Lepisosteus oculatus: one gene and its partner. The protein of the gene in region 2 purifies or fractionates together with the protein of the main gene of each other region. This does not show direct contact. Links are inferred from orthologs where the notes say so. Each region holds a gene or a part of one and is shown on either strand. Other genes may lie near its edges. The genes, in order: eef2k and hspa12b.

Region 1 (15,074 bases), on a different chromosome or scaffold from region 2:
GATGTTTACATAAACACGCGCAGCACTTGATAAGTAAAACACTTATCTACAGCACAGAAGAGCCCGTGTGCAAGGGTGGCCAGGGCAACATATACAGATTAAAGAGGACTACAGGGACTGTGTCCACTGAGGTATGCTTTTGTGTGGTTTTACATCCAAAGAAGCTGGACATTTAGAATGCAGACCATAATGCACACAAAACACAAGTATCCAGGCAAGATACAGTGCCATTGTTTTCTGACACCCTCTTATTGTAAAGAGGGGCCCATCTGCATCTGTTTTGATGCCCAGTGCCCTGCCTCCAAGGACTGGCTGGCACAGCGTGGCACCACAAAATCGCTGGGTCATTACCAGGGACACATTTGTCATTCACCAGCAGCTCCGGTCCTTAACCATCTGGATGAACACACACAACGCAGACTCCTGGCTCACAGCAGTCTACTCCGTTTCACGTTTTAGAAACTGCAGAGGATCAGACCCACCCCTGCTTTGTCTAATTTCTACTGCGCTTATGCAAACAGGATACAAAACACACGATACAAAAACATGACACTTCTTTTATAAATAACAACTCAATAATTTTCATCCGTTAGTATTTTCCTGTCTCATTTTCCACACAGATTTTAAATTATAAGGATTTTAAATGTAACTGCCACACAAACCTAATCTGACAATATCTAAGGCACATTACATAGGCAAACTGATGCATTAAGAGAAGCAAACTCCTTGCGTTTATTTGATTGGCTCAGGCTTTACAGATTAGCATCTGCTGTTTACTGCTAGCTCTCTCCCTGTAAACACACTGCAATCAGACTCGAGTGACCACAGTGGAATCTGTTCAACAGCAGCTTCGTTCAGAAGCTCTTCCTTCTCAGATACAGTTCTGTCCACACTAGTCTGGGCGCAGGGCCAAGGTGAAGTGCCCACCTCACTGTGCTCCACCTCCCAGGACACCCAGAATGGCAGTCACTGTGTGGGCAACAGCCAAGTACTGTACAACCCCCAACACCTCAAAGTCTGGCCGTTATCAGGACGCAGAAATGTTCAAACATGGAATAAGATGTACTTTTAGAGTAGGTCTTGAGATTTTTTTCGATTGTATTCAAAATATTAAAATAACTATTGGAGCAGGAGGCTATATCCTACCACTGGTGGCGATACACAGCCTGAATGCTCACTTCACAGGGATATGATAATTCAAAGTTCTGGACAGGCTTAGAAGGCAATGAAAAGACAAGCTTTGCAGAAACACCAAGCATATCCTTGTGATCGCCTGCTGCTCTAAAACAGAAGTGTACATTAGAGATGGAATCGGCATGCAATAATGCAATACTTAAGAAGACACAGAAAACGGAAAGGGCTTAACCAGGTGTGAAGTTTGCAGAAGAACCTCGTCCTCTCACTGGGGAGAAGGTACCCTACCTGGGTCTACTTGACAGACAACCTAACCACCTGCTCATCCAGAGCACAGAGATCAGGAGTGCAGAGTAACTTCTGTGTCCAACCAACACACCCACTTCATAATATTGACTCTCACAGTCCTGCCTCCACTGCCACTGGACTCTGCACTCGTACCTCCACAGCCCCCAGCCTGTCTGATTTTGTAACCCCGTCAACAACAAAATCATCCTGAACACAATCAGCTGACTGTCGCAGCACTGACTGGTCAGTCCGCCGCCTGCACACAAACGGAACAGACGCCCAATCAGGAATCGGGGCGTCGCAGAACTCTGTGACCAGCAGGAAAGCCAACTTGTTCTCTTCCACGGAAGTACCAAGCCATAATCGAAGGGGGCGGGGGGGAGAAAGATGGGCACAGGGGAGAACTTGGCAGAAGCACAAGCCATAAGGCTACGGCAGTAAAGGACGTCTACAGTTCAGCAGCTCCCGTCAATGGAACAGTCTTAAAAGGCCACACTTAATTAAGAGAAGCACGAGGGAGCACTTGTGTTGATTGAGCACGGCAGTTGATCAGTACTGTCTTCATTAGATGAAAGGGAAAGCAATCGATAGAAGAAAAGTCAATGGGATCAGGAAGCTCTGCTCTGGCTGTACCCTGCAGCCATGCAATACACAGTACAGCTGGCCTGGTTTCGGGAAGACAGGAAGACTGTGCAGGAAAGAAACAGAGAGGAGAGGGGGGAGGCCCAGCCCGTCTGATGGGCTGTGAGAGTTAGCTTGCACAGAATTGGGTGCAGTGTGTGGGGGGAAGCCTGTGAAGAGGAGAGACGAGGAGGAGAACGGATCAGGAGAGGACGGAGAATGAGGAGAGGGATGGGAGCGATGGCGGGAAGGTGGATTTCGATGTGAAGGCGGAACCTACCCGACCTCGTTCAGACAACACCCCAAAACTGACAGATCGCGCCTCTGGTTCTTTCTACAGGACACATGGGAAAGAGTGAGGCAGAGGCAGTGTGGGGGTTAATGAGCTACAGAGGAAAACAGCACTTTAAGAACAGTTAGCTCAGGAGAAAGTCTTCTGCATCTTTCCAAACTCCTTGTCCTGTTGCCTTGTTTTACAGAACATCTGCTTAAATAAATTCACATATATTATCAAAAACACCTTTGCTACCTCTGGGCCCCCCAGTAGAGGGATTCAGATGTAAATTGTCTTTTTATGACTTTTTTTTCTAATCTGAAAAAAGCAAAGATAGGTTAAGGTAGCCGGGCAGAGGACTGGTCAGGGCTCTGAACTGGATTGGTACGGCTTCTAATCCTGGGACTCTGCTATGATTCTCCTGAGCAGGATCCTCCTGTATGAATGGGCCTCCAGGGTGTCGGATAAATGAGAGTCTGCTCTCAACTGACTTACCTGGTGGCTCAACATAAACGGCTAAAAGAGATTAATCTAACTCAAAGGAGAGGAAATGATATAATCACAATCCTCTAGGTGGGTTCCCCCTCCTGGTCAGGCACATGGGCCAATGCCAAGAGCATGTATTTTGGAGGCGTGATCTGGGATATCTGACACTGAACAACCCCCTTTGTCACACTGGCTGATCGCCCCCTGACCCTGCTCTGAGGTCACCGGGGGAAGGGAGCATTATGACATCACTTCCTGCAGGAAATGCAGCATGAGAAGGCAAGTCTTACAGCTCTGAACTACAGGTGCACAGTTTAAAGCTTTTTGTTTGGAATTTACACTTGTGAGAAATGTAGCAAAACTGAACATGCACAGCTCTTGCACTGTATGTTTGTTTTAAAAAAAACACAGCACCTCACACATAAACTTCCCTTACCCTCAACATGAACAAACAAAAAAGAATAACAGATCTTGTTTGCACAACACTGGAGATAGAGGAAGCAGTTTATTATTTGTTTTTATTTCTGTTCCTTTTCCTCTTCAGGGCTCGAAGCAGCCCAGGGCAGGAGCCAGAGAGGCCCAGCCCTTGACACACTCAGCATAGCCATCTGTCCGTTTCAGTGCCTTATAAGGCAGCGTCTGTCTGTGACTGTGACAGGAGGCTGCAGCCTGTCTCTGAGACTGGACGAGCACATGCCTACAGCGATGTAAATAAAGAGTCAGGGAGCTATACTCTAGTCAGTGCCCTGACTATGAATAAGACAACACTCTGTGGAATGTTAGAGACAGGTTAAAGTTTGTTTTTTTTTTCATGCTGAAAGCAAAAACCCAAGCATGAAGCAGATAATGTCTTTTAGCATGAAAGGGGCTTGGTTTCTGAGAGCGAGCGTGCATGTGGTTTTAGCAGGTCAGACACCCAGCAGGACCTCACAGTACAACAGCCAGTTTTTTTACAAAGCAAAAACAATTAGCAGCTAAAAACAAACAAAAACAAACAAGACATGTCTGCAGACAGTGCTGTTGCATGTAATTTAGTAGATTACAGAGTTCAATCAGTTCTCTAGTTCTCCCCTGCAAAACTTTCTCACCACAGTATCAGTGTGCTTGAAAGGGGATCTGGCTTTAATTCAGCCAGGAGTGGAGTCTCTCCTTTACAGAGAACAGGGAACCAGCTCAAAGCTGCAGACACGTGAGGCTTCAGCAGGGTGCCTCTGAGCTCATGCTAGGAGGGAGAAGGCAGGCCTCTGTCCTGCCCAGAGCTCACCTTGAAGCTGAAGGACTTCTTGGGCGACGCGCTGGAGGAGTACTGCTCGTTGTGGATGAGGTTCTTCAGGTAGTTGCAGATGTTCTTGGCCTGGCTCTCCGACGGGTCATCGGTGATGGGGCAGATGTAGAAGTTGTCCTCCTCGTCGCTGTCGGGGTCCTCCAGCGAGCCGGCGTGCCTGCCCCCCCTGCGGGCGCTGTCCACCTCCTCCATGCTGAAGATCATCTCCTCCTCCATCACGGCTGGTCACCGGCTGCACCCCTGGGTTCCTCTCCGCTTCTGCAGGGCTCTCCACACGCTGGCCACAGCTGCGGGGACAGAAGGACAGAGCAGAGATGGGGTCACCGGCGCGGCCCCACACCGCCTCCTCAGGGACAGCGGCCAGCACAGCGACCCCCAGCGACCCCCAGTGAGGTCCTCCCCCACAGCTACACCTCCCAGGAGCTTGGGAGACTCCCGCTGCACAGTTTCGGGCTCAGCGTACGAATATCCAAGCAAAACAACACAAAAAACCTTCCTCAACCTGGTCAGGCATGAAGCAGACGTTCACGTTTCCTCAGCAGGTTCGTTTCTTAAGACAAACACACGCTATCTCAATGAAGCAGCCGACACAGCTGCAAAGGGCTTTCAAAACAAGACTTTTGACAGCTGTTTTTCAGCTGCCTCCTGGAGCAGCTTCTTTCAGGTTAATAAAAAGCCTGAACCCGGTTCCAGAAGCTGATAAGGCTGCAAGAGCCGTAAGTGAAGTTTAAACAGGTCTGCTGCTGTGATAGAGCCTGGAGAGGGACACCCCCCGCCCCCCCTTCACACACACACACACGCAGGCTGCCGTTCTGCACATCAGGCTTGGTCTGCGAGCTGGGAGACCTCTGGCTCCGTCACTCTGCTGTCCGGCCCTGGGCTCCGCTCAGAGCGAGAGGAGGGGGCCCCTGGGCTGTCAAGCACACACTAGCGTACAGCATTAACACACACCAGTGGCGCCCTGGCACAGCAGGACTGGGCAGGATATGGAAATGCCCACAGAGCCCCACGTGACAGCACAGCGCACATTCCGAGCTCTGCAGACAACCTTCTTCCAAGAAGCACTTCTTTAAGAAAGCCTCCAGTTCGACACTAAAGGACCTCCCGTGAACTCAGCTCCTGTCTCCCCCACAGCGCCATGCCACAGAGGCCTGACTGAAGGCTCCCCCTGCTCTTCTGCTGATATCAAGACACAGAGAGGTTCGTGCCTGGACTTCCAGCCTGGGTTAAGAGTAGCCGGGACTCTGCTCTGGACTGCATGCTCCACTGCGGACGGGCCAACCAACGCACACCACAACGGTTCAATTTATTTCCGATCTCTTTGAAAAGCAACTCAAAAGCGCTTTACAGCAGCACTGGTGTAATACGCACCGGAGCAAAAAGAAGGAGCAGAAAGCGCGCAGTGAACTGACCCAGTCAAACACAGCAGGACGCTCAATTACACACTACGGCCGTACAGAGGTGAGGTTTGAACACGCCAGCAGCTGAGGTTGCAGGCTCTCACTGGGAACCGGCACCTCAGAAAGAGGAGAGCTGTCTCATGAGAGCACATGGCACAGTGACCCCTGGGGTCAAGTCCAGCCCCTTTCCCAAGACAAGCAGCCACCAGGTGCTGCTCTCAGTGTTTGCCTGGGCCAGCAGGGACCACACAGACACTTGAGCAGTTTACAGCCCTGTAAAACCCCATGAATTTCTCTCACTGTCACCCCAGAGGTGAGGCGTGGGCACGTTATTCCGCACGACGGCCGGGTCAGCCTGTCAAGGGACAGGGGTTCGACTTTCCTCTCAGCCAGAGCTCGGATCAGCCCCGATATAAAACGCCACCACATTGGCGCTCAGCGTGAAACGCGGGACGCTTAATCCATACTCTACTGCCATCAAGCCCGTCTGTGCAATGCCAAGCAGAAACTCCAGCTGCCCTGGGGCCGAACTCTCCGATCCATTTGTCGCGAACCCCTTGTCTGGGGAGAGGAAAGCCCTCATGCAAAGCACACTCGGGGCCACACCAGAAAGAGACTGTGAGGGGTTTAATCCACAGGTGTCACTGAAGAAGGCTCCACAGCCGAAACCTTGTGTCTCTTTGCATGCTGACGCAGCCCCCTACCTGAACTACTTTGAATTATTTTGAATCGCCACACCGGACAGGGAGAAGATAAAACGTCCCAGACCGCATCGCCAGGTTTGAGTGAGCAGCAGCTCACACCCCAGCGTGTTGGGGTCTCGGAGCCGAGAGGAAACAGCCCGTCTGCTGGATCAGCCAGCGGGACTGGGTGTTTACCAAGTGTTGGGCTCCCATACGGGCGCAGTCACCGAGAGCCAAAACACAAAATGCACGACCCCACACAGCGGGAAACAACAACTGGGTACCCCCGCTTCGATCGCCACAAGTTTAGCAATGATTAGTATATTACAGGCCAAGACGCGTTTCCATGCTTGTGTGTTGATGTTGTTGAAATACCCCCCTCGCAGAGCCCAGACTGGCCGCAATGAAACGGTTCAGAATGATATATTTGTAAAAAAAACACACACACACCAGTGTTCTTCACGAAACGGGCATAACCACGCTGGAGAAGCGCAAGGCTTCCTGTCAGCGATTCGCCTTATCCGTCACAAGACAGAAAAAAACACGCAGCGCGTCTCGCCGGGCCACAGCCGTGCAGACGGATTTGGTATAAACAAGCGCTCAGGGAAATGACTGTAAAAGAGCCCACCTTACTGAGCACAATGCGAGCTGGCCTCCGATGCATAGACGCGCCGATGAGTGTGCTTCTGTGTGGAGGAAGGCTGGGAGCCTGTCCGTGTCTCTCACTCCGCGTCTTGCTCGCCGCCCTGTTGCTGCGCTCTTGCAAGAGTTTTTCCACAACACGGCTCCCCGAACCCGAAGCTGTCCTGCAGACAGAGCCCGTGGGGGGAGACGGGGGGGGGGTGTATCCTCGACGGGAGGGGATTCAGGTTTCTGTTCCCAGTCCTCCACTGCTGCAGCGCCCCGGCGCACGTAGACTCTCACGCCGCCAGCCTGCAGAGCGCCTCCTGGTGGCCACCGGGCGCAACAGCCGCCCCCCCCGGGGGGTGTGAAGTCTTGACAAACAGGTCGCTCTCGCCGGACGATTCAAAGAGCAGATGTGACCTCCCCTCGTCTGTCCGTTTGTCAGTACGGGTGTTTATTTATTTTTTTTTGGGAGGGGCACAGGACATTTCTGTTCCTCGGCGCTCTAGATTTGCGTTCTTCATGCAGCGTTGCCTTTGATGCGGCGCTCAAACCTTACCTCTCGGGAGGTGGGAGCGCTTCAGTTTCGCGCAGGGGATTCGTGTGTAATTGTACATGTCTAAATACACACGTCCTCCGAGCGCCGTGTTGCACATTGCGTCAGCGGGCCGGAATGTTGCTGCAGGTTTGTCAGTGATACCGCAGAGAAACTGCTACCGGGGTAGCGTGGCCGAGTGGTCTAAGGCGCTGGATTTAGGCTCCAGTCATTTCGATGGCGTGGGTTCGAATCCCACCGCTGCCACATGAGAGTTTCTTTTCCGTCTTTTGGTTTTGACGAATAATAAATAAAAAATCATATATAATAACATAAAATGATAGGAATGAAATTCATTGTCAAATTTCATTTTTTACGTGATGGGAACCGCACAAAGCTACCGAACTTGCAAAGCAGGTTTAAAACACCACGATTGAAGGGGGAGACAGAAATTAGAGTAATCAGTATATTTTATTCAGCTCATCTCTGAATTTCCCGTCAAACACTGCCTATACCCCGTTAGTATTTATTCAGCCCTGCAAAATCGCATTTTATCATAGAATTATGGCTTTATACCGTCTAACGGCCTTTTCCTGAAATATTTTACAATACACGGTCACCTTTAAATTCACGATAAATCCAAGTACATATCCACAATCTCACAAAACATCATATATGCTGACGCGTCTGTCAGTATATATGACACTTTCTTTCACAAAGAAAGTGCAAACTGTGCTCCTGCTTTTCTCGTTGCTATTTTTTTGAGACACAAGGTGGCTCTCGCTTCATAGCGCTTTTAAAAAAGTCTGTCGTTTAATGCAGTCAAAAAGTTAATTGTTTTATTATCTAAAGCCAAAATTAAAAGTTTCATAAATGTATTTTCAGCATCCAAATAATATTTATATAGGTGTCCGTGATGAAATCTATACTTCCCGTCGTCGGAAGGCGTCTCTGGCTGGCCGCCATCTTGGCTCAAGACTCCTACCAAGGCTAACAGAGCCAAAATGGTCAACCAGCGTTCAGAAAAAGAAGGTTAAAATTTGATGTTGAACAGCGGGTAAAAACTACATGCTGAATATCACCACAGGAGCGAGTGGTCGTGTAATGCTTGATTTTGAGGTGACAGGGTCAGGGTCGTTGTTGTTACTGCGGATCACCTTCTATACGAGGCCTCTATAACCTCGGAGTGCTTTGGCTGATCCGTGTAAAGCACAGTATACAGGACTTGGAGCACAGTGGGACTTGCCTGCTTCAAAGTCTGTCCTTCACAGTGTACAAACAGGTGTCAGCTCACCACCACCTTTCCTTATGAAACACATTGAACTGGCACAGCGCTGTCCACTCGAATCCTTCATTTAATGTATACTGTCATTTACAAACAATCTCCACATATAAAATGCCTTCACAATTATTGCTGATTAGTTATACATGAGGTCAGGTGTATCTTGTGCTTGTAACTTGCAACAGTGCTGTTAGAAAAGGAAGGCTCAGGTTAAACAGCCCGTGAGCATCTGATATCCCTGGTGCTACAGGGTCTAGAAATGTCTAGATGCAAAGCACTCTTTTAGACAAATTATATTTCAGAAAATACAGTATCTTTGTGCCAAATTGGGAAACAAAGTGTACTAGGCTGAAACTGCACGATGCAACAAAGAAAACAAACCCATTTTACCATAAATAATGTGTCTCAGTAAAAAAAGCAAGCGCGTGGATTACCATTCCATTACAAAGACAGCATTGGCATCCGGGCTAGTTACAAGTGTTTCATACAAAGCATTTTGTAAAATAGATTTAAATCTAACAAACGTCTTACTTTCTGCAGACTAGAGAAGTTTAGGGAGCTAAAAACGGCAGCACTCCTGGTCTCCTCACAGCAACAGACTGCGGAGATGTTTTCTTTCTACTGACAGGGTAGAAACTTGGGCAAATTGAGACATTAGGCCTACAGATGAGCTCAAGGAGCTTTACATCAGTTGGAAGGACTTCAGAATCACCTGTGACAGTCTGTGCGGACTTCAATAATTCCCCAGAAACCCTTGTTATTGCGTGCATAAAACACTGTTCAATAAGCAGGACTGGCTACATTAGTGCCTTCAGAGATAAACTACTATAACAGCAAACACCAGAGCACATTCAAACTAAATATTCACTGTGGCTCCGCTCCTAACTGGCTAACACTGCACCCCCTAATAATTATTTCTGGAGCCACCCCTGCTTAGAAACCCTTTATAAAATTGTGCAAGACAAGTTTTCAATTTTTTCTTTAAGTCTACAAATTCTCCGTCACTAATTTAAAGGACATAAAAATTGCATACATTGCATTTATAAACTGCATTTGCTGTTACAGGTCCTGCCACAACATTCTAGCGCTCTTCACTGGCTCTGGGCTCATAGACAAGATCGAGCGAACTGAACTTCAGCAGGTCCGCGGCGTCCTTATCATGCAGACCGAGCGGTGCTGTACCGCGGAATGAACGCCAGAGGGCCTCCGAGAGCCAGCATGTGCCGTGCAGTACTCTACTCATTTCTGCGTCTAAAATAAGATTAGATACCCTCAGGTAGAGCGCTAACTGAGGTTAAGAGGTCAAAACTCAACTGAGGTATGATGGCAGCCTGTCCAGTTTCACTGTTATAAAATCGGTGTTACTGCCCACAACATTCTGCATCAGGACTAAACGGGCACCCCACTGCAATGCTCCTAAGTTGCAGAAAACGTGCATACAGAATGCACTGCAAACTTTAATATCGTGGTGAAACTGGGCAAAAAGAGAATAAAGTACAGCACCGTTTTAACCCCCACCGTCATCATATCCTGTGACCAGAATCATAAAACACCCTAGATCTTCCCCCAATTTTCCACTTAGCGTGTCCCTCAAGTCAGGGCGCTTTGTAAAGTCCCTGAGCGCACTGGTCAATACATTAGCTATGGGGAAGTATCGGCTTATTCAGTCATTAAGATTCTGAATACTGCTGGTGTCTGATGCAGCGTCGAGGTCCGTCAGAGAATGCGAGACGGGCTGCCGGCCCACTCGGAAACAAAACCTCTCCACAGTTAGCTCGGACTGGTGAAGAGCTCCTATCTGAAGTGGGCGCCGCTCAGGGGCGGGTCGAGTTGAGACTCCTCGGCGCCGCCAGGTCGCCCCAGGCGCAGGAGAGCAGCAGCAGCAGCGCCAGGGCGCCGCCCAGGAGCAGGGCCGCCCGGAGGCAGGCGGGCAGCCGGCGGGGGCTCCGGGCCCGGGTCTTCAGGTAGCCGTCCACGGCCTCCGCCAGGTCGCGGCGCTGCGGCGTGAACCCCAGCTGCCGGCGCGCCTTGTCGATCCTGAAGGTGTGGGTGACGGCGATGTTTCTCACCTGCGGGTGAAGGGGGGCAGGTCAGGCGCTCTGCTGCTGAGACCTCACACTCGGGCCGAGGGCGCGCACTAGGGTATGAAACCAGCCCAGGTGCTAGGTACTAGTACTATGAGTACTATCCCATAAAACTGCAGATCCGACTCCGCACAGCGAACACCCCCATAATATTCGGGGAACACTGTCTTTCGAAGGTGACACCATACCTCTTTGACGGGGGGTCACACCGTCAAGCCCCGTGCACGGCTCGGGAAACACTGTGTCACCGCCAGAGGGCAGCCTGCGCCAACATTTTCACTGGGTTACCAAAGGCCTCGTTAAGTCCCTGCTTTTGTTCATATCTATATTGTAGTGCCTGGTTTTAAAGGTTAAACCCCCCCCCCCTTGAAAACACACAAAGCTTGAAAACGAGCGTCAGAGTTGCGGATCAGATTCATTAGGTTTTTATTTGCAAAGTGGCCCAGCTGATCTCTTTCCAGCTGTTTCTTGAAAGAACAATGTTGTCGTGCTTCCTCGGCATGGCTGAGTAGCTTACTCCATGCACCCACAACCCTTTGTGTAAAGACGTGTCTCAGTTCCGAACGCACTAGAAACAGATTTTACTGCAACAAACACAGGAAAAGTTTCTAAATGAATAGCTACGACTGTTAAGGTACAGTACATGTTTTAAAGGATAATCAGCAATGACAACAGTCTCTTTTCAACGATTCCAAACTTGCTGCGCTGACAACCGAGTTGTTTCTCAACTCTTTTCCAAATTCAAACAGCGCCCCCTGCTGCCCAGCGTGCCGTCACTGGCCGGGTCGGGGGCACTGGCAGGAGAAATCGCGGCACCCCAAAAGATCAGAAAACCGTGGCTCGGCTTGTTTTAAGAACATTAAAAAAAAGCGTGGCAGTGGCTGACTTATGAACGCCATCGGAACTCCGATATCCCCTTACTGCACAGCGGATTGCGTGTCTGTATGGAAATCTACACCGATAATGCAGGCAGGCAGGGCTCTGGCAAGTCAGACACCTGGGGCACCTGCTGCATGTTTAATCCTGGGAGAGACGGAGAGATTCTGAGGTCCCTGGCAGACAGAGAAAGGCACCTGCAGTACAACCCGCCCCTGTTTTCTACCCCTCCTGTCTGCCCCTCGAGTTTTGGAGTATTGCAAGAGGCAACTCAAACAAATCAAAGACATCACTGGAGGAAACCTGGGGTGTTTGGACATTATGCTCTTATTTAAAACAAACAATCCGGGCAGGAGAAGGTGAAAGGGGAGGCCACTGACATGACAGCTGGAAAAAAAAAGCCCAATTCTTTGTTAAAATCCTGTGGCATTCCTCCGCTTCCTTGTTAAGTGAATCCCTTGTATCCGTGTATTTTAACAGGTTCCAGGGTACAATTAGCTGCCTGTTTTCTCTTGGTAGAAAAAGCATTCCAGCTGTCCCTAGAGCCCTCCGTCTGGGACCCTGCTCAATAACCAGGAGCTCCAGAGCTGACTGAGCTCTGGAAAGGGACAGTGTGGAGTTCTTAAAACACTTAGCATCAGCGTGTCAGTCTGACCCACTGTTTCATAACTTCTCTGTGAGCAATTTCGATTTTAATAGCCTATTACAGTCCTAAAAATGTCAATACATCCCTCTAAAAGCTTTCCTCGCTTTCAGCTTCACAAGAACAGAAGATGAAGGTATTTGCTTAAAGCATGAATAATTAAGCCTGGTTATCTCTACATTCTGTTCTGCACGCACGTAATGCTGTTGCAGTAAAGGGCTGGTATAATACACCCTCGCCATGAGACACGACTGACTCTGCCGCCAGCTGATACAGACAGCTTTCACAACCTGCAGAAGCGCTGCAGCTCGTCAGGTGAAAAACCTCAAGGAAATTACAGCCTCTCGCTAGGAAAGTATCACCTTGTGAAAACACAGAGGGCTGCCTGCGTCTCGGCCGGCTTTTGGCAGCGATGAATGAGGCCTCATATTTTATTTAAACACAATCATCAATTTTACAGCCGCCTCGCTAGACTTGCCCCTTTGACCATGTCTTGAGTTTCTCATTAGGGATTAATGAAGGAGTTTCTGATCGTCGAAAAAAAGAATCCTCAAGCCTTTTCGTTTCTTATCAATACGGAGATCTAGGAAGGCTCTGCTAATAACCACAGCAGTTTGTAAGTGTGGCCCCTTGTCCTCAGCTGTCCGGCGCATCAGCGCAGTGCTGGCTAGGATGCTTGGTTTTCTCCCTCTGCTCGAACCTCGGATGGAAAGAATGAAGGAATGTAACTACATCTGCTTAATCGTTACAAACAGCTTTGATGAGGCTGTGGACTGGACTGGATGTCCCTAGAACACTGACAACCTCTCCTGTTCGTGCCTCTGTTTAAGAGCCTGTTTAAGTGCCACTAATTAAAAACCTCTGCTCGTTCTTAATTAGTTTCCAGTAAGAGAAGCAAGTCTTCGCAGAGTGAGAAAGACTGAGATCCCCGAGTGAGAGTTATCGGCAGTTCCCTCATAAGGACCACTTCAAAACAGCCTTTTGCTGCCCACAGATGTCCTTTTAACGAGGAGATTAATTAGTGACAGAAATCTCCACACAGTGACAGTCAGGTGTGGGGCATATTGCGTAATGCACACTGCATACCAGAGTATGGCAAGTCTGAGCACCTGTGGGCATACAAGTGCACTGTAAAAAGTTATAAAAATGTTATCTGAAATAAAAGAGATATAAGATACCATGTGTGATGAAAGATCCAGTCCTCGAGAGTCTTCTCCTGTGTTGTTATTTCTTCCCACCCGAGCTCTCATTGCCTTAATAAGACTAATTATTTTGCCCAATTAGATGAGCGTCATTATTTTCCCAGGCCTGGGGTGTTCTTTAATGACGTGGGGGTGGCAGCTGAGGAGGCCCCCAGGACAGGAGACAGGCACCCCTGGGTCAGCCTGTTTTGGGGAGAGGGCTGGCGGGGGGCGGTACCTCGTTTCTGGTGAAGAGCAGAGGGATCCCAACCACCGGCCTCAGAGCGACGTGCAGGCACTCCATCAGGATGGCTGAAACACAGCAGCGGCAGAGGCGCTTCAGTCTCGGGTGCTCATCCCCTTTCCTGCCACGCACGCGCTAAAGGACCGCACCTGGGCGCGCGTGCCGCGGGGGGGGCAGGGCAAAGGCAGCTCAGCCCCGTGAGACCGCGGACAGGCCGGGGACAGAAGGACATCACGGTAGAGGGGGGCGCGTAGGTAAAAGCAAGGTAAAAGTGTAATTTCTGGACGGTAAAATCACAGGGAGAGGGCAAAACGGATGTGCAAATATGGAGTGGCAAACTTTCAGTAGGGTAAGATCAACAACGAAGACATTACTTATTTACCCATGGGGTGAAATCTCATAACCAAAAACACAGAGCAAGGCAGGAAGTGCTGAGCCTGCTGGAGGCCCTGGGACGGCATGCTCACAGGCCGAGCCTGCTGGGCAGCTAGGTGTGGTGCAGCCAGAGGGCGCACTGAGCTGTGCAGGCTCGGCACCGGAACCGAAGCCAGCCCCGGAGGTGCCCCCTCACTGCCAGGTGCGGCGCTGCAGGGAAGGGCGGGGTACCTGCTGTGTACACCAGGGAGACGGGCAGGTGTATCAGAGGTCGGCTGTAGCCCAGCTTCTCAAACTGAAGGGAAACCAAGGCAGGAGGACATGTTAGCATTAGGGCTATGTCCTCCTATCAGAAATGACATTTCAAATAAAGGTTAACCACATCACACACAGCATTACATTGATAGATTTTCTTAACAGTACATAGCATTGAACTGATGCTATAGATTTTGAAATGAGAAGAAATTAGCCTGGAGGAGGGGTTGAATATTGAGAATAAAGGCTCATTTTAGGGGGTGTTCCTTGGCATAGCAAGGTCATTCACAGATTACCTTCAGTAACACAGGGAGCCCTCACTGCACAGCGGGACATCTATACATCCAACAATACAAAACCCAGACATTAAAATTCCTATTGTGAAACTACCGATTGAAATGCACAGGCATTCAAGAGGAGTTCGTGCTATATCAAGAACATTTCTACATGAGGGAATACTGCTTGGCTAATGACCATTTTTAAAAAAACATAATCGCCAATTCATATTATTCTATATGCAGGTGGACACATGGGGGGGGGGTGTGTGTGTCACTTGGGAGAACATGCAGACTCCACTCAGAAGGTTCCCCGGTCTAGAAGTGCATCCAGGAGCCAAGCTCTCGGAGACAGAAATCTTTTATGGATTGTGAATCCCTTAGAAATGATTCCCTTTGAACGTGCTACTGTATGTAAAATAAATGTTATTATTAAAAAGAGATTGTTATTTGGTCACCTCACAATGAGGTCATAAACACTATATTTGAACTACTGATCGTATAATACCTGTCACAACAGCTTTGTTGA
Region 2 (15,331 bases):
TATTTCTTTCTCCATGTGTCCTGGGCTGTTGAAAGTATTTACCCAAAACTTAATTAAACCGGACAATTTCTTCGATTGATGTGCGTCAGAACCCCAGCTCAGCAAACACCTCAGTCTGAAAATCCCGAGAGCTGCCCCTCCACAGCCACCCCCCATAGCTGTAACAATGTAATTTCGTATTGAGAATAGTAAGCTATTTAGAATGGCAAAGTAACACAAACGTATGGCCACACCTGAATAACATAAAGGGGACACAAGTCATTGCAAAGCTGAAAAATGTTACTAGAACATCAGGAAACAAAATCTTCCACAACCTTGATGACAAAGGCCTGAACAAGTGTTAGGAGACTTGCTCTCTCTGCTTGCGTTTTCTTTGATCACATGATCTGCTGTCCAGGTGGGCAGTGCTCTCAAACCCAGGTGGCTGAGGTCCCTGCTAAACGCAGGGAGGGCGATGACATCAGCGCTACACCAGCAAAGGCATACCTAATTACATCACTTAACTAATTGCAGATAATCAATGATAATTGATAGCAGTAACAGCAACATTATTATTTCATCAATGGTTTCTTTGCAGTTTGTTCTGCAATTTCCCTCACGGGATCAGTAAAGTATCTATCTATCTAAGCCCAAATGAGACTTCTAGGGAGATTGCTAGCCAGGGATGCAGGGCAGGACTCTCAGCTGAAACTGAGAATCACGGTGTGGCTCAGCATTCACCCCTCCAGCGCCAGGCAGGGCCGGGGTTAAGCATGATTCCCAGACTTATCTTAACTAACAGACAGCCCCGTGCTATCACCCCTGCAAATTACTTCCTGGTCTTATCTGTGACTGTGGAAGCACTGTGAATTCAGAGTCCTCTGGCCTGCTTACATGACAGTAAAGGACATAATCTGGATCATAGACTAAAACAATGTATAAGGGTTCTTAATTGATCATAATTGATCATATGGAGTAAACTGCTTACTGTTTTTTTGTTGTACAATTTCTGTGGTAATCTTCTCCTTAAACTATAGACATCCTGTTTCATGACAACACTTAATCCCAATCTGTGTTTTATAGCACAAAAAGCCGTCCTTCAGTATAACACTTCTCCTCTGTTGCTCGTGTGCAGTTCACCTTCAGTTACTGTGATCTGATTTTCTACAGATTCTGATCTATGCGAATGAAAGGTGCTGAATGACAAGGTTGGTGTCTTTCCCCAAACTGCGCTGTGTTACATACAGTCACAGCTGTTACAACTGTATGAAGCATTAGTGAAGGCTGTGAGTGACTGTTGATACTCAACACACACACACCACATCTTGTAATCCTGTACCTCCTGACTGTTTCTAAGATGTCTGAGACCTTTGCACAGCAGCAAACACTTAGGAAATGTGTGACTCACTCAGCAGCAAAGAAACAGGAAATCAACTGCAAGGCCCTCTTCCCCTTTTTGTCAAATTCTTTGCTTACATTCACTTTTTAGTTTGTCACATTTTGGAACACTTGTCTGTAAAAAATAGAGACCCCTGCCCGCGCTGCAGGTGGCAGAATGTCTTGAAACACACAATAACTTTTCTGAGCTATCTTCTCTCTGCATGTTTTCTTCCTGGCAGCAACAGCAGGGAACCGATGCTGTCTGGTAGAGAGTGTGGGAGAAGCGCAGTGTGGCGGAACATGAAACAGAACATGAGGGGCTTTTTGAAAGTATCCTGGTGGGAATTGTGAGTCTCAGGAATTCAGGAGAAGATGGGAAGTCTCGATTCCCAGAGGTGGGTGGTTGAGTCCCTTTCCCTCAGTTAGGAATGGTAAGCAACGTCCGAGAGAATCAAGATCTGAACTATGGATTGGTATACTGTGATGATGAATTTATCCCCCCATTTCCCAGAGTAAATCTATATACAATATATCCGTCCTTCGGATGAGACGTAAAACCGAGGTCCTGACTCTCTGTGGTCATTAAAAATCCCAGGCCGTTTCTCGAAAAGAGTAGGGGTGTAACCCCGGCATCCTGGCCAAATTTCCCATTGGCCCTTACCAATCATGGCCTCCTAATAATCCCCCTCTATGAACTGGCTTCATTACTCTGTTCTCCTCCCCACTGAGAGCTGGTGTGTGGGGAGAGTACTGGAGCATCATCCAGGTGGGGCTGCACACTGGTGGTGGTGGAGGGGAGTCCCCATTACCTGCAAAGCGCTTTGAGTGGACTGTCCAGAAAAGCGCTAGATAAGTGTAATTATTATTATTATTATTATTATTATTATTATTATTATTATTATTATTATTATTATTATAAGGTGACTCCAAGAAATAGGTGACTGCGTGATGAGAAAATTATGTTGGATCTACTCCAACAAGTACTTTACACCGTGTCCCTGTCAGAATATCCAGGCTTTAGCTGTTTCCCTCCCTATTATAACCAAATCCAAGCACAGAGCTGTGTAGTCAGTGCTGCTGGATTCCACATTTCTCATGCCCACTTAGTGACCTGCAAACTCCCTCCCAGGGCTGGCAGGCTTGATTCAGAGTGAAGTCACACATCCGAACATGCGAAAGCTGTGCTCCTGTCATTCTCCAGGAAAGGCTAAAGTGAACAGTAAGCAGCAGACTATCTCCCAGGCTTGCAGGAGGACACCAGTCCTCCGGAGTCTACATGAACAGACCAGGAACCGGACAGTTATGCCTCCAATAGTCAGCTCCATATAGACGCAGCACCACTGGGGAATCCGAATGACTGGAACATGGAAAAATATTCACAATTCTTGGGAATCTGGTGGCACCACACATCAGGGGCAACACAAAGACATTTTTTTTGCTATGAGTGAGACCTTTGTCTCTCTCCTGTACAAAAAACCCAGATGTCAGTATTCACTGTGCCATTCTTTTAGCAAATGGCCTGTAGATACAAAAATCACACATGATACATCTTTTTAAAAGTCATAACAATATGACAATGTGCTACATTTTTCCATTACTTACCTGTACTGTATGTTTAAATCATTGTCTCTTATAACACTCATTCTCTTGGGTGACTATTCAGTTGTAGGGTCAGCCTTTTTCAAGTACTACTGCTAATAATAAAATCATTCCTTTCTAGCATGACAAGCTGGGGCAGTTATAGTGGAAGACACCCGGAGTAATTATTCTTGGAGTTACGCATGCTGCTCTCTATTTTCCACTCCAGTTATTGCTCTTGACACTATTCCTCTGGGATTTCCTGCTGTCCCAGTCTCTCACCTGTTGCTAAGAGGATGCATCTGCACCTGCCACCCCCCAACCAGAAACATTGCTCAGAGCAGGGAACAACAGTCCATCACACCGAGACAACTCCATTGAATCAAAAGGATAACATCACAGCAGGAGCCTTGCATGCTGTGGATGCAGAAAAGCTCTTTATCGCACATGGGCCAAGCTTCCTGATGATGGTGAGCTCAATCAGATTTTCCAGTGGGACTCTATTCCATCCTGTGTTTGTGTGAGGAGTCAGAAAACTACTTTCTCACCAACACAATCCTAGAGTCTGCAGCCCTCAGACAAGGACTGCCTCACACCTAAAGGCTCGAGTGACGTTCCTTCCTTCTGTGTTTCAGTGTGGAACTAACCTGTACAGTGCTGCCGCATTCAAATCAGCCTCCTTTACAATGAGATAATACAACTGTTGTGCAGCACAGATGTGTCCTGTATTTGACTCATATACAACAGCAGTGCAACCACCTGTAGCCTGATCTGGTCAGTACTGGGATGGGAAATCTCCAGGGAAAAGCAAGATGATGTATTTCTTCCCTCTTTTTTTCCCTGGGATCAGAAGTTCCAAACCAGTGTAGGAGGAGCTGTCCCTCTCATGAGAGTTCAGGAATAGTCCGGGCTGCGGTGATTAAAGATTTCATGACACTTTTCAAAGGATCGGAGTTTTCTACTGCGACATCCTAGTTGAATTCCAAGCTGGGCTTGAAAAATCTGGCCACTTAATTAGCAGATCGAGTGGAATCTGTCCTATAGGGAAAGTGCTTTGGGATCTTCTGGGTGGAAAGTCGCTACATAACGGTGATTAATTCTTACTATTCTGTAATCTCTGCCTCAGTGCATCACACCATTAGAACACAGGTGCGTTGTCTTCTGGAGTGCACATAGTGTTCCTGTGCACTGGGGGATTCACACAGAGGCAGAAGCACAAGGTGTATAAAGTCCCGCCCACCACTGCTCGCTTCTCAGGCTGTGCGTCTGTCTCACCTCTGTCTTAGTGGCAGGCAGTAGGTTCATCATCCTTTTAGCTTTGGCAAAGTATTCATGCTCCTTCTGATGGACCACTGCTTATATCAGCTGGACTGTATGAAAGAACAACCCCATTTTGTTGTTCCAGACTCCCACAACCACTTGCACAAAGACATGCCTCCTGTTCTTGGTTTTAAAAGTACTTCCACATAGTTTCTTGTGTCCTCTGGTTCCTGTTTCAGAATAAATCCTCTGGGTCGACTTTGTAAGGCCTTTGAGTATTTTAAATACTTGGATAGCATGCATCACATTTCATGGCAGGTTTGTGAAAAGTTTGTTCAACAACATTTCTTACCATGTAAAGCTTTGTCATGTACAAGTCCATGCAAAAGAACTAAAGCTGCAGAAGTCCTGCAAAATATTGCAGGAATCTGGAGCAAAGACCTTTAGCTACTATCCACCAGAAGTCTTTTTTAGGAAACCCCAAAGATGTAATCTGTCTGCACAGCATATCTCCAAAAATGAAATTTACAGGGAAAATAAAAGATTCCTAAAAATCTTACATGTGGAGCAGTTGGTAAGGAACAGCATGTTTGTGAGAACTACAGCCTTGCATACTGTATATAAGGACTCAATCATGACCTCTCATGGTTACCTCTTACTTTAGAGCCACTCTGCACCACTCCCCACACAGTGGAGTATTCCACTATGCCAAAGGGACAGCCCTCCCACTGCAGGGGGACTCCCATGGCAATGACATCATATCCTGGTCCGTTCAACATGTAGCAAGCTCAGAGCCAGATTTGCCCCATACAGATTGGTGTTGCTAATCTCCTTCTGGGTGGAGGGAGTTTATTAAAAACACTAGCAAGGCTGTGCAGAGATTTGTACAGGGTTTTACTATTGCAGCAGTCCCACTCTCCCTCCACCCCTCCTCTGACTGCGGTGACATCATCCAGGCAGGGTGAGGCTATGAAAGTGACACTGTCAATAAGTCTGAAGCCAGCCCCTCTAATATCTCTACAGCTCAGACACAGTTTTTTTTTCAGACCTCCATAGACTCCATAACATTACTCGAGCAATGCTACAGCTTTGTCCTCCTCTTTCAGAGCCTGAATTTGAAAGGAGAGCTTCTTGATCTCAGAACTCCGAACCTGTTAATAATAAACCCTGGAGAACGCATGTGGGCCCACTAATATACACTGGATGTTTGGGGGTAGGGTTTCTTATATCAGATTCCAAGTAACATCTGTGGAAATTATATACCGGTATCTCCAAAACCAGGTTCCAGGTTTAGAATTAAAACAGCAGACAAACACATAGAAATGCCCCCCAGGGCAACACGCTCGGGCCACATATTTCTCTGTATAGGTCCACAGTCTGATTTTCATTTCCCCCAGTCCCCTGTAAACTCAAACTCCAGCGCGATGCAGTCAGTCACTTCTCCGGCGCACTCTGCAGCCCACCGCACGGCACTGCCAGCTGCTGTTGTAGTTAACACAAAATTGTGGGATTTTTAGAAAACAAAATCTCTGTCCTGTCATTCTCCAGGCAGAGCTCAAAGATACTCCAAAGAAATACTCCAGGGAAAGTCCTCAATTCTGGCGCTGTTCCTAGTTTTTTTTTGCCTACTGTACTTGGTTGCACATAGACTTCCACTCCTGGACTTAAACAGCACTTTTGAGGAACAGCCAGACTCTCCCACAACTCAGTCATTATAGTGCTTCTTGTCTTGCGTGGATCTGACATGTTGCTCAGTGTACCGCGTGATTCTCTGAGACAGCACACCTGTTTCCAAAAACCATATTGTGGAGCATCGCACGTTTCTCATTACCTTCTGTAAAAACTAGCATCACATTCACATATTGCATAATATATACGGGATATAGGGGAACCCATTTTTATCCAAAATAACTTCTCTGTGGACCCATGTTAACAGTTATAGGCTTAGAAATTGCTAAGCACTCCCGCACTAGAGAGAAAGGCAGCTCATCAATCTCTAGCCTAGAGGTTGTTTCAGCTCAATCTCTCTTGCATACCTTGGCAATGTGTACACAGCACACCTTTGCAGAACTGACGACCGCTTCTTCCATTTAGAACTGCACAAAAACACCAACTAAACACAATGAGGCCACCAGAGCAGGACATAGGTGGAGAGTGTGAGATGTTCCTGAGTTTAAAAGATGGAGCAAAGTTGAACATGTTTTGCTTGTGCAAGCCGTCTATTGTTCTCACTGTTCTCACTCAAGCAGTGTTGTCAGAAGAATGTGTGTGCAGTCTGGCAGTGATTGGCATATAGAAACCCCCTGTTGCTGACCTACCGGGGTTTGTTGGTAAGGATGAGACACTGAAGATACACTATTATGAGAAACACTTTGCACACTTGAAAACACACTTATTATAATAAAAATAACCTTTTAATTCTGACCCCAGAAAGCATACGATTAATCAAATGCTTTTGTAAATCTTCCTGTGTCCTTTGCCAGCTAGAAGGACTGTAATAATGTAAGAATTGTTTGCCAAGTTTGAACAATCAACCCCTGGAGCACTGGAGCACTCAGAAATACTCTCTTCCTGCTCAAGAGCTATTTGACATCTGCCTCCTCACACCAGGAGAGCACACAACTGCAAACACCTGAGCGCTGACTTCTTTTACATTCTTTTACAACAAAATGCTCTGTACTCACACGTCGCTCTTCAAATAATGCACGTTCGTCCTCTGAAGGGGCTGTAAGTGAAGTCCACACCACTCAGGAACAGAAGAAGATGCCTTTGAAATGCTGCTCAGCTTCCTTTCCTGGTGTAGTAAAGAACAACAGCTCCCCTGCAACACAGCAGATGTTGCGCTCCACTCTGGAAAGCTTGCCAGAGTCTAGACACAAAACAGGAGGAAGAATTAAAAACGTGGGCAACTTCTCCTCCTTTCCTGCCTCTCTGCTCCTTGTGCAATCCAGCGCAAGGCGGAGGCAGTGAGGACGGCGGAGACACTCCCAGGGAGGCAGTGGAATGTGAGAGAGAGATGGAGAGGGACTCCCAGCACGCACACACTCGGGCACACAGAGCGCCGGGCCCGGGCGGCAGCTCTAGCACCGAGGGGAGGGAGGGAGAGAGGGGGAGGCTGGGCTTGGACTGCATGAGCACTGTGTTGTGGGTGTGTGAGAGAGGGAGGGGGCGGAGAGAGTGAATTCAGTCCCGGTGCCTTTGTCTGAGCAGAGGGCTCCTCTTTCCCCACGTCTCCCTCATTTTTCACTTCCCCCTCCTTCTGTCTCCCACTCCCTCTTTCTCCTCTGTCTTCCTCTCACCGTCATTCACCTCGTTTGAAAGGCCCTTTTAAACAGTTTCCTGTTGTTGTTGCTCAGTGCTTTCCAGTCTAAAAAAACAGTTGCCCACTCCGCCCCACACTGAGTTTGCCACAGCAAACTGGCACAATTTCTCTCACTAATAAAATAATCAGAGAGAGCTTTTCTTTGGGACACTGACACAGGTACAGTCAGTGTGTGTTGAAGGAGGGTGTGCCCAGGTCCACAAGAGGATGAATCTGACTGTTTTGTGAGACATTGACATCCACTGAGCAGGGTGCGATCCTTATCAAAGAGAAGAGGAGAAGAGGACAGACGTCACTAACCAGGCATCGATCGCATTAATATAGTCCTCTTCATCCTAAAGGTGAAATCCATGGGTGATTTACATATAATAATAATAATAATAATAATTGCTTGCACTTATATAGCGCTTTTCTGGACACTCCACTCAAAGTGCTTTACAGGTAATGGGGACTCCCCTCCACCACCACCAGTGTGCAGCCCCACCTGGATGATGCGACGGCAGCCATAGTGCACCAGTACACTCACCACACATCAGCTCTCAGTGGGGAGGAGAGCAGAGTGATGAAGCCAGTTCATAGATGGGGATTATTAGGAGGCCATGATTGGTAAGGGCCAATGGGAAATTGTAGGGAATGGGAAGAGTAGGGTTACTCTCCTACTCTTTTCGAGAAAACACCCTGGGATTTTTAATGACCACAGAGAGTCAGGACCTCGGTTTTACATCTCATCTGAAGGACGGCGCCTGTTTACAGTATAGTGTCCCCGTCACTATACTGGGGCATTAGGACCCACACAGACTGCAGGGTGAGCACCCCCTGCTGGCCCCACTAACACCTCTTCCAGCAGCAACCTTAGTTTTTCCAAGGAGGTCTCCCATCCAGGTACTGACCAGGCTCACACCCGCTTAGCTTCAGTGGGTTGCCAGTTGTGAGCTGCAGGGTGATATGGCTGCTGGCTGTAATATAGCACACACACTTCCTCCACCACTCAAGGGCTGTGCCACCTGGCGATGCAGCTCCACTGCGTGGGAGATCGGGCAGGAGAGAGTAACTGCAGCACCTGGTGACCTACAAGGCACTTCAGGGAGGCCAGACTGCACAAGCCTGGAGTGGTGTTTACCAAGGACGATGAAATATCCCTGCTCTTTCGAAAAGTGCCTTAGGATTTGTAATGACCAAGTAGTCAGAACCTCGGTTTCACACCTCACCCAAAGGACAACACCTTCTGCAGCACTGAGTCCCCTGGGTCATGGGTTTGGACTTTCTGGTCCAGAGGAAAAAACGCCACCTACTGGTTCACCAACACCAATCCCTCCCCCTTACTGGCCAGACCCAGCCTTGCTTAGCTTCTGAGATCTGATGAGATCATATATATATATCTCATAGATTTTAAATACTGTTGGTATACTGTGTGTACAGTATACTGAATGAATTTGCTTGTGTATTTCTAGCTAAGCGGTTTTTAATAGGCAATCAGTTAATGGTGAACAGACATGAGTGTGAATGGTACAGAATCAGACACCTCCCCCTTTGAGTCAATGTTTATCCTCCTGCTATCTTTCTATGGACATCCCATTGACTCCTAGTAAATTTTAATGCAATGTACTGAACTACACTGCTAATCATCTCAGTCACAGTGAGAAAAGACAAGAAAAAGGTAGCACCTTTCTAATTTAAAAAATAAAGAGTCAGGTTTACTGCTGTCAACTGCCTATTTTTCGGTGTTCATTCCCCAGTCACACCTGAACACACACAACTGGTTGTAAATCCTGAGTGTGCAGATCCACTTCCAGTTGGGATTCTGCTCTGTCACATCAGTCACCCAGCCCGTTCGTGCTCCTGGGTACAACAGCTGGATGAAGATCTACTGGGGACCAGTGTCAGTATCTCATTTGCAGACAGAAAGATTTGTGGATTTCCAACAGCTTCAAGTGCACAGAGCTTACTGCTGTCTCTCCTCAACCTGCTAATTAAGAATTTGCTAATGGATTTCTAGCTACAGTAAATAGCTTTTTATTGGTGATTAATTGACTGTGAACAGACTCAGGGTGAAGGACACTGTCTGGCACTCCCACTGAGCTCCAGTGTTTTTCCTTCTGTCCAGTTGATTAGCTGCCAGCTCTCACACCTGAGTGAGGACAGTCCTGAAACTCACACATTAGCACAAGGCTTGTACTGTGGCAATTACACATCTCATTCAGCTTTTTAATAGGTGAAAGCAAATAAAAAAGCTTCAAATATATAGATAAATTAGCCTGTGATTAAGAACAAAGCTGGTAGAAAAACAGAAAATACAGATGTTACCCAGAACCAGGAGAACCACTCCACTAGGAAAGTTTTTTTAAAAGTCCAAATGAGAAATCAGATCAGTTCACTGACACCATTTAGCACTGGTGATTAAGGGCCTGGTCGGAATAAGGTCCAGAAGACACAGGTGGACTGACACAGGGCTGAGCACTGCTGATCTGGAGTCCCCATCAGAGCAGTGTGGCATTTTACAGAAACAATCTGCTGACACCTGCCCCACCCCTAACCCCTCAGCTACAAGCCCAGAGACCTGACCACTCCCCACTGCTCCACACTGCTGCATGCTCTGGGTATTGATATACGAAGCAGAGAAAACCCATGGCAAACATACACTTGCTCTGTAGATGTCGCGTGGCGAGTTTGCAAGGGCTCTCAGTGAGTGTGGAGCGGTGCTCAGCTGAGGTGCTCGTTCCCTGTGCCTTCCTGGGTCACTGCCGCCACCGCAGAGCCCCACTGATGAAAAGCACACCCAGCTCCCCGACAGCCAGAGGACGTGAACTTATTCAGCATGCAGAAGGTTGCTATTACCTTACAGAACAAAAAAAGTTATGAAAAAAATCCTCCAGCTTACAGGCTCCCGAGCTTGTCATATTTCCAGATCAAATTGGCTCCAGTCTGGAACCCATTACCTATGGCATCATACACGAAGCAGTAATTAAGGCCTGGGGCCCCGCATAGGCAGCACTTCAAAGACTTTTCTGTTTGTAATGTAAACCACCTTAACAGGGCTCTGCCCCCCTCGAGCTCTGCTCTGGAGGTGATGTCCGCTGCAACCGTGTCTCAGTGGCAGTGCTTTGCCACTGCTAGTGCACACTTTGCACACAGACACACTCAGCTCTTGTGCGAAGTGTGCTGAATTTTCTCATGTTTTCCGAAATGTTTAAATGCGAAAATTTAGCTAGACACTCATAAAATAGATATGGGAAAGAGAGATGTGTCAGTTAAGCTTTTTATTTTGAGAAAATGAAGTTGGGGGTCTCAAAGCTGACCTCCACTTGTCTTGACACTGTTACCCTGGTTTCAGGAGCTAGCTGGGACAAATCTTTGGATCAGTTGCTGCACTGGATGGCCTCCGCCCATTTGTAATATTTCTTGTGTTTGTTTTGAGTACATTTTGCACTGGAAACGAGAGTCAGCCTGTTCCAGCATTTCAGACGTTAGGGCTGTTTAGAAGAAAATCCACCCTGCAGATGAGACATTACACAGAGTCCTGACTGCTCGCCTTACTTACTTGTAAAGCCAATGCTGCAACTCCATCTGCGGATGGTACTGTACCTGAGTTTCAGTCAAGATTGAAAAACATGGGGGTGATGTTTGGGTCAGGAGTAACGTTTGACCCACACGTGCAACATTGTCAAAACATCATTCCTTCACCCCAGAAATATCGCTACACTACTTACTATGTTCAGGTAGTTAGCTGTGTCAGCATGTGCAGGCTGCAAAGAAACAAGTAAAGGTTTGTTGCAAGCTGAAAAAAGAAACGAGACACAATGTTTCGGCTGTGGAGCCTTCTTCAGGTGTCAATCCGGGTGAAACGTTGTGTCTCTTTTCTTTTCATCACAGAAAAGAAAAGAGACACTTATTCCTTTACTTATTCCTTTACTTCCTAAGTTATCGCTGTTGCTGAAAAGCTGATCAACACATTTGTCTTCTCTTGAATTGACTACTGCAATGCCCTATTCACGGGGTTGTCTAAATCCACATTGAACAAACTTCAGTATGTCCAGAATTCGGTTGCCAAAACCCAGACCATGTCTAGTGCAAGTGATGACATTACTCCTATACTGGACTCCTTGCACTGGCTTCCTGTCAAGTTCCGTGTGGACTTTAAAATCCTCATGCTCACCTATAAGGCTCTGCATGGCTTGGCACCTCAATACCTGTCTGAACTATTATCGTCCTACTCCCCACCTCGCAACCTTCGCTCTTCTAATTCTGCTCTCCTTACTGTCCCCCAAGCCCGTCTACATTGTATGGGTGACAGGGCCTTCTCCTGTTATGTCCCCAAGCTCTGGAACTCTTTGCCCAAGGATATCAGAGAGTCACCTTCCCTAAACTCTTCCCTAAACTCAAATCTAAATTAAAAACCTTCTTTTTCAGAAGGGCTTTTACTTAAGTGGTTCTGGTATATACCGCTTTACTCCTACTGTATCTAGTTCTACTACTGTCCATCTACTGTCCTCTCATTGTAGATTTTCATTGTGTTTATATGATATATTTTTTTGTTTATTGTTGTTTTTCTGTGAAACACTTTGAGAAGCCACCTTTAAAGGTGCTATATAAAAATAAAGTTTATTTTCATTCATTATAGTTAATAATAATAATATTTCTTACTCTTCCCCCTGATTTGTTGTGCAGTGGGGCTGCCGGTGCAGAGTGGCAGCTGTGTTCCGACCTGGTGGGGCTGCTCTTCAGTTGCAGATGAAGAGGATCCCTAATCCCTTTGGATGACAAGTGCTTTCTAAAAATCATGGGATTAATTTAATAATTATATTCAATTTAATAAAATTCAAAAAGGAGACATTGGTAGGGAAAAGCTGAGAAAGTTCATCTCTTCTACATCCAGACTTCCAGTGACCCCCTGGCTGTCCAGGCCTGTGCACTCATCTGACCAAGCCAGTGTTATTCCATGTGTGCTTCCATATTGAAGACGTCATCTCAGGAATTCTTATGGCCCCTTTTCACAATTAACGAGCCATTTCCTTTCTTAGAGCAGCTCTGTGCTACCCCCCACCCCAAAAACACACAGCCCACCTGGTCCACCAACTCTCTGCATTCTTTCCCAGCCCCTCCACTCAGCTCCTGACAGATATACACACGCACACACACACATACACATGCACATAGACACACACACATACACATACACATAGACACACACACGTGCACTCACACAACCACACGCACATGTACACACACAAATGCACACACAAACACACATGTACACAACACACATACACACACAATCAACACAAACTCTCACAAGCACGCAAGCACACACAGAAACGCACACGCACACACAAGCACATACATGCACACAACACACACAAACACACACAGGATCACACAGTATGCACACACACAACTTACACATTCACACACACACGCACACAGAATCACACATGCACGCACTCGGACGCAACACACACATCCACACACAAACATATAGGTACACATGCACACACGAACTTTCACAGTCTCACAAACACACACGTGTGCACACAGAAACACACTCGCACACGCAGAAGCACACACACGCACGCTCACACACACTCACACACACATTGCTGCCTGTGGGAGAAAGAACAGTGTGACCATATGAGTGACAATTCGACCCCCCGTGTCAGCGGATGAGCCACAGTGCAGGGATCAGGGCTGCAGGGAGCAATGAATAAAACACGTCCAGCAATTAAAAACTAATCCCTGTCCTGTTTAATACAAGCAGCTATAATTCATGGAGGCTAAAGGCAAAAGAGCAGGAATTATTAAGGACATACAGCTGGCCAAGGAACAGCAGTTAGACCTGGTTCATATCCCAGTCTTCTTTCATCCGAGAATGCCTCCACAGCAGGTCCTCCTTTCTCTGACCCTGTCTTTAGCTGTAACAATCTAGCAGTGAAATGACTATTGGCCTCGGTGTCATTTCGGTTTCTCCCATTTCCTTCCCTGCCTTTCCTGGAGCCCAGCAGCAGTCGAGCTCCAGCTCACAGAGGGACGGGCTGTGATCTCAGCTCCAGCCTTCGACAAGCATCTCCGGGGAGCCTCAGGTCAGCTGCCGAGGCCCGGAACCACAGAACCAGACAGCAGCAAAAACACCGGTGCTAGACTGAGCTGAACCCCTTCAGAGAGGAGGTTGTACTCTTTTGTAGTTCCTCTGTCTTTCTCTTCCCTCCTCACTACAATTATTTTTCTCCTAAGTTCAGGTCTCCTCTCCTCAGTTTGCACTGGACTTGAGGAATTTTGATCAGTGTCATCCCAACAGCCAGGCAGGCCAGATGCAAAACATGCCCAGCTCGCCAGCAGACCATTCAGGGCCCAGACACATGACAAACTCCTGACAAACTTCTTTGAGCTGCTGGTGAGTTTCGTACCACAATCAGTGAGACTCAAAGCTGTGCATTGTGGACATACAGCACAACACTGTGACATACCCTTACTGCCTGGTCTTTAACATACACAAAGCCCCAGCACGCAGGGAATGCTTCAGCTCTGAGCTCCTGTGATGATAAAAAGTAACTCTGCTGCAATGTTCATAGCTTCCCAAAGAATATATACTGTATATAATTACAGCAGGCTTAAATCATGCTGTAGAATACCTTCTGCCTTTAGAGTGACCCCTACTATTTTCTAAAAAAAGCCTAATGCATTATGTCATACTTTTACTAACACATGCACGCACCAAGAAATTGAAGCTCCAGATGGCCAGTAAAAATCAGGAAATCAAGAACAGTGCCAGGGTATGATGTGAGAGTGCTGGACTCCAGTCGGCTGTGTGTGTGCTGTCAGGAGACTTGGGTAACACCGGGCCACTGGAGGAGCTTATCAGCCGTGCTGTGATTTATAATCGGGGCCCTCCGCCCCTTGGAGAGATGAGAGCTGCAGCCCATAAACTCTCCACATGAGAGGGGCAGGGGAGGTGGCTGACACCAGGACAGAGCACAGGCTTGACGAGTGAAGAAGAAGAATATTCCAGACAATGCCTGCTATCAGCATACTTCACTGTTCAGCAGGGTCTGGGAGCAGGGATCGCTGGGCTCTGTCCTCCTGCTCCCATTCAGTCAGGGGGATAAAGGGCGTTTGACCCCTTTTCCTCTTCTCTTCACTGGACTAACCCACTCCCTGCACTGGACAGCTGTGGCTCGATAGGCAGCACATACATAAGGAGCATCTCAAAGTCCTGATAGGGCCAGAGTGGCAAATTTCTGACTTAAACAGTATTGAAGAGTATGAGCGTAGAAGAAATAGAAGTACTGCAGATACCAGAAGCCCTTAATTAGAATTACCAGCGCCTGGTCGCATTCCGCCATTTATAGCTACATAAACAAGGTGTTATTCCTTTAACAGAGCTATTATCAGCTTCACAAAGCTGTCACCCAGTCATGCTGGCCGGGGAATGCAGCATTAACCACTGATAAACTGAGCCAAGTAGTTCCAGACCAAGAAGTCTGCCTGCTACTATGCAAGGTAATAGAAACCATTCCTATTTGTGAACTGGGGGATCACTTGTATAAAATCAGGTACTGGGGACACTCAACATGGATTTAGAATAGGTAAGTCTTACTTTACCATTAAAGACTATTACTTCTAGTTAACAATCTATTTAGATGACATTCTTCACCACAGCAGTTTACATTCACACTCATTTATAAAACTGGGTATTTTAATGGAACAATCTGAGTGAAGTACCTTGCTTAAGGACATAGCTGTATCTCACTTAGGATTTGAACCCACAACCTCCCTGTACCAACTGAGAAAGAGCTATGCTGATGTAAATATAGTTAATAG

What was found.
Region 1: the proteins of hspa12b (region 2) and eef2k purify together in Homo sapiens (affinity purification with mass spectrometry; 3 studies listed by BioGRID and IntAct, with this or other methods). This does not show direct contact. The link is inferred for Lepisosteus oculatus from reciprocal best matches to the Homo sapiens genes HSPA12B and EEF2K.

Annotation. Positions count from the first base shown.
Region 1 is NC_090714.1:16,591,943-16,607,016, reverse strand, and holds the start of eef2k (eukaryotic elongation factor 2 kinase), read right to left. Parts: upstream 7,310-15,074; 5' UTR 6,800-7,309; intron 4,376-6,799; 5' UTR 4,305-4,375; coding exon 4,068-4,304; intron 2,378-4,067; coding exon 2,324-2,377; intron 1-2,323. Other genes in the region: sdr42e2 (putative short-chain dehydrogenase/reductase family 42E member 2), read right to left, coding at 10,427-10,681, 13,635-13,708, 14,247-14,310. UniProt on the Homo sapiens protein: Threonine kinase that regulates protein synthesis by controlling the rate of peptide chain elongation.
Region 2 is NC_090696.1:2,795,543-2,810,873, forward strand, and holds the start of hspa12b (heat shock 70 kDa protein 12B), read right to left. Parts: upstream 7,277-15,331; 5' UTR 6,882-7,276; intron 1-6,881.